Linked DNA regions of Xenopus tropicalis. The protein of the gene in region 2 purifies or fractionates together with the protein of the main gene of each other region. This does not show direct contact. Links are inferred from orthologs where the notes say so. Each region holds a gene or a part of one and is shown on either strand. Other genes may lie near its edges. The genes, in order: erbb4, lrig1 and erbb2.

Region 1 (3,617 bases), on a different chromosome or scaffold from region 2:
ACCCTGATGCCACCACTTTGGCCATGCTGAGAGAAGTTACAGAATGTTGTAAAACTGTAGAAACCTCAGGTTTGTCTACAAAGCTGAACCAGCCCACACTAGAGTAATGTATGGGGCAGATTTATTAAAATGTGAGTTGAGAGCTTAATACGTGAAAAACTCACCCACATTCTATTCATTCCAATGGGAATTTAAGAAGCATATTTTTCAATGGGTGAAAGTTAGAGTTAGTTTATATGTATTTTATATTTTCTATGTATTAAGTTCTAAACTCACATTTTGATAAATCTGCCCCTAATAGAGATGTAGCGAACTGTTCGCCGGAGAACTAATTCGCACGAAAATCGGGTGTTCGCAAGTTCGCAAGTTCGCGAACTTTTAGCGAAGTTCGCAATTTTGGGTTCGCCTTAGCTGGAGCCAAATTTTGACCTCTCACCCCAGAGCCAGCAGATACATGGCAGCCAATCAGGCAGCTCTCCCTCCTGGACCACCCCCGGACCACTCCCTTCCATATATAAACCGAAGCCCAGCAGCCATTTTACATTCTGCCTGTGTGTGCTTGATGAGTTAGCATAGGGAGAGAGCTGTGCAGGGGTTTGAGGGACAGTTTAGGTAGCTTTGCTGACTAGTAATCTACTTTCTACTGCTCTGTATGTAGCTGCTGTGGGCAGCTGTCCTGCTGATCATCTGCTATAACCCAATAGTCCTTGTAAAAGCAGTTTATTACACAAGTTTAGAAATGTAGTGTGATTTCTGTCCTTTACAGCACAAAATGCAATGCTGTGTCAACAAAGTATTTTTCAGAGACATTTTTGCCCTTAATCCCCCTCCTGCATGCCACTGTCCAGGTCGTGGCACCCTTTAAACAACTTTAAAATCAGTTTTCTGGCCAGAAATGGCTTTTCTAGGTTTTAAAGTTCGCCTTCCCATTGAAGTCTATGGGGTTCGCAAAGTTCGCAAAAGTTCGCACTTTTTGGCAGAAGTTCGCGAACGGGTTCGCTAACTTTTTTTGTGAGGTTCGCTACATCTCTAGCCCCTAAGTGTTTTGTAAGTAGAAAAAAGAATGCATCTGAAATAATATAATTGCTACCCTATTTTCCTGGTTAAGTGTGCCAAGTACCAAATGACTAGGGCAGAGCAACTGCTACTGATAACATGTACAGCCAATGTCCACATATGGATTAATTAATGTAACTGTGGCTTTAACACTGAATTGGGGGACTGTGCTGGGGACACTAAAAAGAGACACTGAAACAGGGCCTGTCACCAGGAAACAGGGACTAATAATAACATTGCACCAGTGACATAAAAGTAGTTTTTTCGTAAACATATTTCTACAAAAAGTTTTCACCAACCAAAACAATGCTTCCGAAGAGCAAACAAATGAATAATGGAACTTACTGCAGTTTTCTGGCTTCTTGTTCTCTCGGATAGTGGTTCTCTGGTTGGATGTCCGGAAGAGAGATGTCCAGTTGACGGTATGGTAATAGCACAGGTTACGGTTATCAGTGATATATACATTCCCAGCACTGATCTCTTTGAGTGACTGAAACTGTAGGGAGTTGAGGCTCTGCTGCTTTAGAATCAGCAGGGAAATTCCACTGTGGAAAGAGAAATGCAGAATTGCAGAGCATCCTGATACTAAGAGCTGGACTCTAAGCCATAAGAACAATAGCAGGACTCAAAAATACATTTTTAATTTGTACAGGACAAAAGTATCAAATGTTAATAAATCAGGCACTTTCACATATACATCTACATATTATATAATTATTGTTTAGCATTGTTTAGTTGGCAGGAGACTAAGTGCATTGTTGAGATTATACACGTGGTAAGGCACTCTCTCAGGTGTATAGAACGTGCATCTCTGCTGGTATGCCTGTTAATTTATGCCAGGATATGCTCACCACCAGTCACACATGTGTGTGTAGTCTAGTCTTTGCCCAAGCCGGCATATCTTTTTCTACAGAATATGCTAGAGCCCCTTTCAACACTGCACAGACTCTCCTTCTGTCTTGTTATTAAGCCTTGCCTGTATGTGGGAATGGCTTGAGAACAGACTCTGAGGTTTGCCACTGGCTCTGACTTTTGGCTGCATACCAACTACAACTTCTACTCCCTGGGACTCCTGAATCTCTGTGTCTTGCCCATCTGGTAACCTGTAGTGAGTTGGATCTCAGTAGATTAGCAGGCTGCAAAAGGGCTCAGATGAACATCAATGTTTGCAGGGATCTCTATCTATGCTGAAGGCGTCAGACTAGGAAATTTCCCTCTCTACAGGGTCCAGTTTTACAGGTAGATTCCACATGATATGGGCAGCATCTTGGACCCTTTCCACCACCACAATCAGCACCCATTTTAAACTAAAACACTTAAAGAGGCACCACTATTTATGGGTGGAAAAGGCCACAGCCAACCCTGCCCTTTTGACAGTGGTTGATACACAAAATTGCTAGCCTCAGACTTAAACCACTCCTGCCACCACTTACGCCAACACTCTCCCTGCTATTATTATTACCCCCCGATAAGCTAAGGGAGCTGCAAAAGTAAATGGTGACTGACTCCTCCTGTTCTATACCCTTCACTCTCTTCCTACAGCCTCCAGACAAACACCTTTTGAAATACATTTCCCACAACCCCTTGCAATTTAACACCTTCCTGGCTCCCCTAGCCCTGTTATGGTCCTGTCTCCGTCACTTCCTTGCGGTCCTCCAGGGCACCCTGAACAGCAATAAAGTAATTAACTTACAGTCTGTTCTAGTTTTTCCTTTTCCTTCCCTTTAGCCACAATGTTAACATAACATTACACAGATAATACTGAGATTAGATGGTGCTTTTTTAGATTTCCTATGTCTGAATTACCTTTTGGCATGTACATGGCTCACAGACATAGGATAATTACCCTCTGGTTGTTGCTTCTTTATTTTCAAACTTCGGTTACTAAGAGCTGTGGGGTGCAGCCGTAACTAATAAGAGGATAAGTGGATACCTGGCAAGTGTTTGATCCAGTGCTTCAACCTCAGTTTTTAAATGGAGAGGGTTGATGCTTACAGCCTTCCTTTAGCTTAGATTACTTTGCATCCTTCCATTACCCTGAAAAGCATCAACTACTAAAGGGGCTGCCTGCTATTTCAGAGAGTGCTGCCCTACGGGCGCTTTAAGTCAAAAACTGCTTTTGCCGTCACTTCTCCTGACAAGCATAGAATTGTATCATTGAATCTGCTGCTTCGTTTACTGCCATGGACGTTTCATAACTTCTCAGCTGAGGCCATCATTAAATGTGCCCCCTGCCCTTCCATCTCAGCCTCAGCTCATAGAGACAAATAATTATTCCCAGCACCGGTATACAGTATGCCATAACCTCTGTGGGCACCAGCTTTCTTCTGTCTGCTGTGCGGGGGACTGGAAACTCTGATACCATAATTGCTGCCTTTTGTCTGACGGCTAAAACCTGTAATCCTTAAACCCAGTATTTTGCAAACTGCTATGGAGAGCTCTCAGGAATTCCTTTATTTGGGAAATGATGACGTTTCTTTTCAGACATACATTTTTCCGTGTTCTGCTACTTTTATATAGTGAAAAGGATACCTTTAAAAAACAGCCAAAGTATAGTATAT
Region 2 (4,267 bases):
TTGAAAAGTTGCTAAGAATAGGTCATTCTATAACATACTGAAAGTTAACCTGAAGGTTCAATAACACTGGCCTACCTCCCTATTATGTAAAGGGGCAACAGGACCAGTCTGTGGAGCGACACCATTTATTAATACGAGTGCTACCCTTAGCAACCATGGTCTCCGAGCCTTGAATCTATCTACTGTATCCGCCAGTACAACTGCTTCTAGCAGGGAATTCCACAACTTGCCCAAGACGTTATGTAACATCCCGGAGACTTAACTGGCTTAACCAAATAAGTTTATGAATTCTCTACCATTATCCTAAAAACCTATTTACAATGTTTTTGATTAGAAATAAATCTCCCAGAATTCTGCACTGCAAATTTCCCCCCTCTTAATTTGCAATTTTAAATATATATTTTTTTTTAACAAAATGCAATGTGGATTGTATTAGACGCTATTTAAAAAAAAAAATGAAAAAAAAGTCTATATGAAGGATTACGCTGGCATAAATCCCAACACTCCACACCAGGTGCTGCAATAATATACAAAGTGCAAACCACAAGTCATATACAGTGTTTGCTTTCGCCTATTCTGTTCGGCGGGCGTTAATCACAGAAATGAATTAATCACAAAATACTTTCCCTTGGAACACACACATATTGACGCGGCCGGGCACAGGCTGTATGTCGATCACGGGGCAATTTTAATTATAGGGTTGCCCCCAGCCATTTATATTTTTTATACAGTACCTGTACTTGATCCCAACTAAGATATAATTACCCCTTATTGGGGGCAGAACAGCCCTATTGGGTTTATTTAATGGTTAAATGATTCCCTTTTCTCTGTAATAATAAAACAGTACCTGTACTTGATCCCAACTAAGATATAATTACCCCTTATTGGGGCAGAACAGCCCTATTGGGTTTATTTCATGGTTAAATGATTCCCTTTTCTCTGTAATAATAAAACAGTACCTGTACTTGATCCCAACTAAGATATAATTACCCCTTATTGGGGGCAGAACAGCCCTATTGGGTTTATTTCATGGTTAAATGATTCCCTTTTCTCTGTAATAATAAAACAGTACCTGTACTTGATCCCAACTAAGATATAATTACCCCTTATTGGGGGCAGAACAGCCCTATTGGGTTTATTTAATGGTTAAATGATTCCCTTTTCTCTGTAATAATAAAACAGTACCTGTACTTGATCCCAACTAAGATATAATTACCCCTTATTGGGGGCAGAACAGTCCTATTGGGTTTATTCAATATTTAAAGAATTTTTAGTAGACTTAAGTTATGGAGATCCAAACTACGGAAAGATCTCTTATGCAGAAAACCCCAGGTCCCGAGCATTCTGGATAACAGGTCCTATACCTGTATATTTAATACAGTGTGAAAGTTGGGGGGGGCTGTAATTGCATTGTATTGTACTTCTTGGTTCTTATTTAACCCCCCCCAAGTTCAAGTGCTGTTTCTGCCCTGCCCTAAAACCGGCTCAGCGTGCTGGTGTTATTTATTATTTGACAGCAACCCAATTAAATATTATAATTATACCTGGGCTGTTCTTAATATTTATTCTGTACGTTGTTTGTTTCCTGCTCGACTTTTGAAAAAAAGACCATCTAAAGCAGGGGTTCCCAACCCCCCTAATGCCGCGACCCTTTAATACAGTTCCTCATGTTGTGGTGACCCCCCCAACCATAAAATTATTCCTAAGAGCATCGGAAATATGTGTTTTCCGACGACCCCTGTGAAAGGGTTGTTCGACCCCCAAAGGGGTCCCGACCCCACAGGGGTTACGTTAGTCCCCCAACACTACAGATATGGGGTAGAGAAAAATAAGAGGGGGGTCCCTATGGTTGGCTGCTGTCAGGAATGGGGCAAGGGGGCAACAAGTAACAGTGGCCTTTTGGAAGAGGTGCTAACTGCCAGTTGGGTCACACTGACAGTTGTGCCCATCAAGCAGCTGGTCTGACATGGTTTGCACCCAGAGGAGGTCAAAGTCCTGCTGTACTACAACTCCCACAATCCTCTAGCAACCCTTAGATGGAAAAACCAATTGAAAAGTGATGGTTTAAAGAGGCAGAGTGGGGCACAACTTACAGGTGTACTGTCCAGGCGGGTAGGTCGGAGGGGGGCGCTGTCAGGCCCAGGTTGCTGCAGTCCAGCAGGTCCCCAGTACAGGTGCAGCTGGGGGGGCACAGGGGCTGCTGGGGGAGCCCCATCCCCAAATGGAAGAGAATTCCCAGCAAGAAGGTGCTCCTGCCCGTTATGGGCTGCATGTTGGGGTCCAGCTGTGGGGGGGACAGATCCCAAATCCGGGAGCCGATAGAGGGGGCAGGGATGTAAGGGGGGTGCACAGGTTTTTGGGGTGGGTTCAGGATAATGGGGAGGAGTAGAGAGGAGTTTGTGGGGGGCTGAGGGGTGTTAAGCACCGCAGACCACTGCTCCCCCCATACCCAGGGAGTTGCAACTCTCAGGAGGCATCGGTCATGTGTGAGCGACGATCCCTGGCCAGAGAGTAAAAAATCGCAGGCGGCAGACGCACAGCCACAGTCCCGGGAAACAGAGACAGATCCAGTCCGTCGCAGTCCTACAGAGAAACCCGAGAAGCGTCCGAGCCCCTAATCCGTGCGGGGCGGTCCGGCTGAGGCGGAATACGGAGTCGCAGCACCGATAGATCCACTCCGGGTAAAGCTCAGAGTCCGAGCCGATCCCGGGCAGCGCAGCTCTGGGGCAGGCACAGACACTGGCGGCGTGTAAGCCGGGCTCTCATTGGCGGCCGCACGTCGGCCTCACACCTCCCGCTGTCTCGCCGGCGCTGATTGGCCAGGGGTTCATCTCCCCCCTCCTTCTAAATCCCTAGCACTTTCCTTACAGAGAACTTTTCATTTCAGTTGGAGGAACTGGGAGAGGGAGGAGGTGTCGCTGCAACAGCTGCACTGTCGGGACCCTCACACCTCCCACCCAAATACATTGTCTGAGGCCGGGGGCCCTCTATTATACTGTTATACTGTTATACCCACTGCTAGGGACCCTGCGCTCTTAGCTTTTCATAGTTAACACTTAAGCAGAGCCATTATTAGTATCCAATCATATTCAGTAACTGTGGAGCCTTAGTGCCCTCATGCCTTGGTACACAGTCAGGGCTCCCGCCTTTTTATACTCACTTACTGGGCCCTTCATAATCCCATCCCTAGTACCCATGCCCTTACTCTATCATTTTATCATAAGCACTTCCTGGGGCCCCAGCTCTCATCTAATCATATGCACTTCCTGGGGCCCCTCTCCTTATTATCCAATCATATGCACTGCCTAAAGCTCCTCATTTCTTTTATGTGTATTTCTTGGGCCCTTACATTTCATTATCCAATCCTGTGCACTTCCTGGGGCCCCTCACTCTCCTTATTATCCCATCATATGCACTTCCTGGGCCCCCACACTGACCTTATTATCCAATCATATGCACTTCCTGGGCCCCCACACTGACCTTATTATCCAATCATATGCACTTCCTGGGGCCCCTCACTCTCCTTATTATCTAATCATATGCATTTTCTGGGGCCCCTCACTCGTTATTATCCCATCATACGCACTTCCTGGGGCCCCTCACTCTCCTTATTATCCCATCATATGCACTTCCTGGGGCCCCTCACTCTCCTTATTATCCCATCATACACACTTCCTGGGGCCCCTCACTCTCCTTATTATCCCATCATATGCACTTCCTGGGGCCCCTCACTCTCCTTATTATCCCATCATACACACTTCCTGGGGCCCCTCACTCTCCTTATTATCCCATCATACTCACTTCCTGGGGCCCCTCACTCTCCTTATTATCCAATCATACGCACTTCCTGGGGCCCCTCACTCTCCTTATTATCCCATCATACTCACTTCCTGGGGCCCCTCACTCTCCTTATTATCCCATCATACGCACTTCCTGGGGCCCCTCACTCTCCTTATTATCCCATCATACTCACTTCCTGGGGCCCCTCACTCTCCTTATTATCCCATCATATGCACTTCCTGGGGCCCCTCACTCTCCTTATTATCCCATCATACACACTTCCTGGGCCACCTCACTCTCCTTATTATCCAATCATACGCACTTCCTGGGCCCCCTCACTCTCCTTATTATCCCATCATATGCATTTCCTGGGGCCCCTCTCCTTATTCTCCCATCTTCATATTATACAATTATAAGCACTGTCCCAGGGTCCTCACTCTTATAATCCAGTCAGATGCCCTTGCACCCCTTATTATTCCTATGCAGT
Region 3 (4,415 bases), on a different chromosome or scaffold from region 2:
GGGCTGACACTTGCACACTATTGGCGGGTCGACGGTGAGTTTGGACTCAGCTTTCCCTTTTGCCCTCCCTGCCCACAATCTTCTGCACCTGGAAGCCTCTATTTATGCCCACGGCCCTTGGCCCATCCACAAAATGTCGACCCACACATCACTACCCCCCAGTATGGCCCCCTGCCAGAAGATGTGCTGTGCGCTTGCTCTCACCTTCAGGTCTTGGTGGGTACGGGTGGTGACTCCGGCAGGGGGGTGAATTTAGGGGGCCCTACTGGGGGGGCAGGCCCAGATGCAATCACAACTGCTGCTCCCTCAGCAGTTACGCTGGCAGCTGGTAGGTTTGGAGTTTTAACAGCTATGTAGTTGCTAGGGCTTAAATACCCTAGTAACCAGGCAAATGTTAGGAAGCAAAGGTCCCTATACACGTTAAGATTCACCAAGCGAGTGGATCTTCCCCCGATATCCGATAAGCTGTCGAATCGGTCCAAGGGACCCATATCGGCAGCTACAATCGGCCTGTGTATGGGGACGTTTAGACTGGAAGATAATTAGTAGAGTGCCTGAAATCAGATATAAGCAATAAAAAACAACCATAAAAGGAAAACCTTACAATCTGTTTTTTGGTTGCCAGGGTCCGTTACCCCAAAGCAACCATGTAGCATTTTTAGACCAATGTGCAGTAGTGTGCATGCATATACAAAGCGGGGACCAGCTTATACAACATATTGAGGTGTAGAAAAACTTAAGGGGTAATTTATGTATCTCCTGGGCAGAAGTGCAAGAGCACTAAGGGGGGCAAAAGTGTGACCCTTTCTGTGCACCCACACACACAAATAGGGAGTTAGAGGGAATGCTGAGCCCTGACCCAGCTCCTGCTGATCCAATACACCAGAACCCCCTTCCCTTCTCCTAATATACAGGTACCAGCAACCCTTACTTTCTAATAAACCAACATCAGCACCGGTACCTTCAGGCATCAGCACGTGAGCTCTTACTATAGTGTCAGAACACACACCTCTGGGCTCGTAACATACACAATTGCCCTGAGCATCTCCCAACATGTTCATCACAATCCTCGACCTTCAGTAAAAAAATGTCTTCTGGTGCCCAAAAGCATTTGGTGGGTCCAAAAAATTAGTAAACTGTGCTTTTAGATTCTTTGCACTATATTGTGTGTGTTCTGGCTTCCAAATTTGTGTGCACAGCTTAGAGGGGACACTCTTTGGGGGGGCAATAGGTATTCTACCTCAATGGCTTTCAGGCTGGGCCCCTTCCAACACTTGCTCTGAGCCCACAGTTTGGTTGGGGGGGGGGGACACAGTAGTTGGCAGCCGCCATCAAGGTGAATTACTGTGCTTGGGAATGGCACATGGGGTGATTGCAAATGTATTGCTGCCCCTGAGATTTCCAGCAATTGCCCTTCCGTTGCCCGGAATAATAACTGCCCTTGGACCCCACTCGCAGGTCAGACAGTTATCACTTGGAATTGCTCAGTTGGCATTTCTGAGCAATAATTGTCTGATTTTGGGGCAGGTTTCAGAAGACCATCCAGGTCAATGGAGAGGCAATTATGTGTGTTTTGGGGGGAGAGCTTGCAATCACCCCTTGTGCCATTGCCCAGAGATGCAACTGAATGGTACCCTGTATACTATACCCCTTACCAAGCTATCTAGCAGGTTCTTTACCCAGAGTTGCTTTTGGTTATAGCAGGGGTCCCCAAACTTTCTTACTCGGGAGCCACAGTCACATGTAAAAAGACTTGGGGGGCAACACAAGCACCATAAAAGTTTATGGAGGTGCCAAATAAGGGCTGTGATTGGCTATTAGGGGCCTCTATGCACCCTATCAGCTTACAGGGGCTTTATTTGGTAGTAAATCTTGTTTTTATTCAACCAACTTTGGAATTCAAAAATAACTCCCTGGTTTGGGGGCACTGAGAGCAACACCCAAGGGGTTGGGGAGCAACATGTTGCCCCGAGAGATCACTGGGTTATAGTGATATATAATATAGGTTTATTATAGTACAGAAAGCATCACAGGTAGGAAAACACTGTACTTTGCAGAAACAAAAGTCACTGTTTTACCCTACAGAGCAGAGCAAACAGGGGGCACAATGTGCCCACCCATCCGGTAAAGGTACCCATACACGGGCCGATATGGGTCCCTTGGACCGATTTGGCAGCTTATTGGCCCGTGTAGGGGTAGAAACGATGGCCATGCCTGACCGATATCTAGCCAAGCCAAGCGAGCGGATCTTAAAGTGTATGGCCACCTTAACACCAATCTTCTAGAGATAACCCCAATGAAATCCTTCTATGCAGTTGGTCAAGGGCAATTAGCATCTCTGTCGCACTAATCATTTTTCACACTGGGCCATTAAGGCTATAGAGCACCTTTATTTAATTCTAGTCTCATTAATATTGCTGAGGTTCCAATGGCTGCGTATACAGGAATGCTTTACCTGCGTCCCCTACTGTTGCACCCGAATACTTGCGTCAGTTGTAGCGCAACCAAAGCTGGAGTGACTCAGATTGGACTGAAATCGCAGCCGATGAACTCCCTACTATATAAAGGTCACCCCCGATTCCCTCCAAACTCTTCCCCGGACGCGCTGTAAGTACATGGGCAGAACCTTACGCTGCGACCCGCACCCTCCTTACCTTCCTCGGCGGCGCGTCCCCTCAGTAGGAGCAGCAGGGCGCAGAGCCCCCAGAGCCATGGCCGTAACCCCATAGTGTCAGTGCCCCCGCAGTGCCATGCCAGCCCCCCTGCTGCCAGCCGGCCCCCCTGCCTGATTCTCTGCTCCGGGAAAGAAGTTCTCAGTTGCCTGTGTAGCTGCCCCGCTTCATTCCTACACAGGCACTTCCTGCAGGGAGGGGGCACAGGGGAGGGAGAGGCGGAGGGCTGGACACAGACACTTATAGGAGTGGCACTCACTTCTACTCCCTGCTCTCTCTGCTTAACTCACCCCTGTGGGGCTCAAACGTCTCTAGATGGTAAGCTCTTGGGCTCACAGCTGCTAAATCTACCCTCCCCCCCACTTCCCTAGAATATAGTCATACCCCCTAGGCTGTAGGCTCCTAGCATTCCTGGCAAGTAGTGACTGGCAGCTCTGGATAAGCAATAGATGCCCACCTACACAATTCCTTATTCACACTCACCTACATACCTTGGTCTTTTTTTTTATTGAAACCCATGTATGTATTAGGGTGAAGACACACTGAGCTACTAGTAGCAGCTACTTTTTCACAGCTACTAAACCCCAGAAAATCCCCTGCCATAGACAATACTGAGAATTGCCTCTGCTAAACACACATAGAGACAACTATCAGTAAATGATCAGCATTGTCTATTTTAGTAGCCACGACAAGTAGCTGCTACTAGTATCTCTGTGTGTCTTCACCCTTATAAATAACCTAGTGCAAAAAAGTGCATGGTGCACAAGTGCAAATGTGCAATGAAAAGGAAGAGCCCAAAACCTGACCAACCGGCCAGAATTTTCAGGTTCTTGCCTTTTGTCCAAGGACTAGAGAGAACCCCTTTATCTCTGACCCCCCAAGCTAGAAGGCCGGCAGGGGCGAGGGTCTTCAGGTTCCCTTCACAGCAGGGCTAGGGTTACCCCTTTATCCTCACCCTCCATCCAGAAAGCCTATAAGGCAGTGCTGGGCCCATTCATACCTGCTTGTCAGCGCCACCCCCTCTAGCCTAGGGCAGCAAACATGGTGGAGAATAGATCCCCAGGAGCTACAAATTAGGGGTCCCCTTTCCATTGCACCCTAGGCACATGCCTGTTCTGCCTACCCCTAGTTGAGGCCCTGCTATAAGAGCTCCATTGACCCCCAAGAGAATCTTCAGTCTTGTATGTTTATGGTGGGGCCAGGTTTTAAGGGAAAGGAGCCGAATGGCCACACATTATCCCCCTCAAGCCAGCGTGCAGATCCATAAGTGTATATTGCGCTAGATTGTAAAAAATGGATAGATCCAGATCGTAGGTTGCACTAGATCATAGAAGAAAAAACACAAAAATAAAAGCTCAGTAACAAAACAAATGTCTCAATATTGGCCGGATTTTAAAAAATTTCCTTGCCATTGGCCAAAAGGCTGGGGCATAAAAGTGAAAGCAAGTAAAGTGCACTATGTGCAGGGGAAATGTTGCTCACCCTGAGGTGGGCTTTTCCATGCTGCCCCCTTGCTTCCCGTGCTTTGGTGCAGGTGGGGGGGTTGCATTACTAGTGCAGTGGTCACAATAGCACTGTCTGTATTAGAAGAGCTGAAATTCCAACTGAAAAATCAGAATTTTGGCTCTTTAAGTGTTTTTTTTCCACCCCCGGTAACTTGTTGGGTGCCGCTGCCTGAGGAGAGTTTCTCCCTTTATGGCAGTGGCACCCCTGGCTACGTGGCCGTTACAGTGTCCCTCCCCA

What was found.
Region 1: the proteins of lrig1 (region 2) and erbb4 purify together in Homo sapiens (affinity purification with western blotting; 3 studies listed by BioGRID and IntAct, with this or other methods). This does not show direct contact. The link is inferred for Xenopus tropicalis from reciprocal best matches to the Homo sapiens genes LRIG1 and ERBB4.
Region 3: the proteins of lrig1 (region 2) and erbb2 purify together in Homo sapiens (co-immunoprecipitation; 4 studies listed by BioGRID and IntAct, with this or other methods). This does not show direct contact. The link is inferred for Xenopus tropicalis from reciprocal best matches to the Homo sapiens genes LRIG1 and ERBB2.

The regions. Positions count from the first base shown.
Region 1 is NC_030685.2:57,168,670-57,172,286, forward strand, and holds part of erbb4 (receptor tyrosine-protein kinase erbB-4), read right to left. Parts: intron 1,602-3,617; coding exon 1,402-1,601; intron 1-1,401. UniProt on the Homo sapiens protein: Tyrosine-protein kinase that plays an essential role as cell surface receptor for neuregulins and EGF family members and regulates development of the heart, the central nervous system and the mammary gland, gene transcription, cell proliferation, differentiation, migration and apoptosis.
Region 2 is NC_030680.2:143,473,047-143,477,313, reverse strand, and holds the start of lrig1 (leucine-rich repeats and immunoglobulin-like domains protein 1), read right to left. Parts: upstream 2,813-4,267; 5' UTR 2,273-2,812; coding exon 2,094-2,272; intron 1-2,093. UniProt on the Homo sapiens protein: Acts as a feedback negative regulator of signaling by receptor tyrosine kinases, through a mechanism that involves enhancement of receptor ubiquitination and accelerated intracellular degradation.
Region 3 is NC_030686.2:9,878,581-9,882,995, forward strand, and holds the start of erbb2 (receptor tyrosine-protein kinase erbB-2), read right to left. Parts: upstream 2,884-4,415; 5' UTR 2,728-2,883; coding exon 2,655-2,727; intron 1-2,654. UniProt on the Homo sapiens protein: Protein tyrosine kinase that is part of several cell surface receptor complexes, but that apparently needs a coreceptor for ligand binding. Essential component of a neuregulin-receptor complex, although neuregulins do not interact with it alone.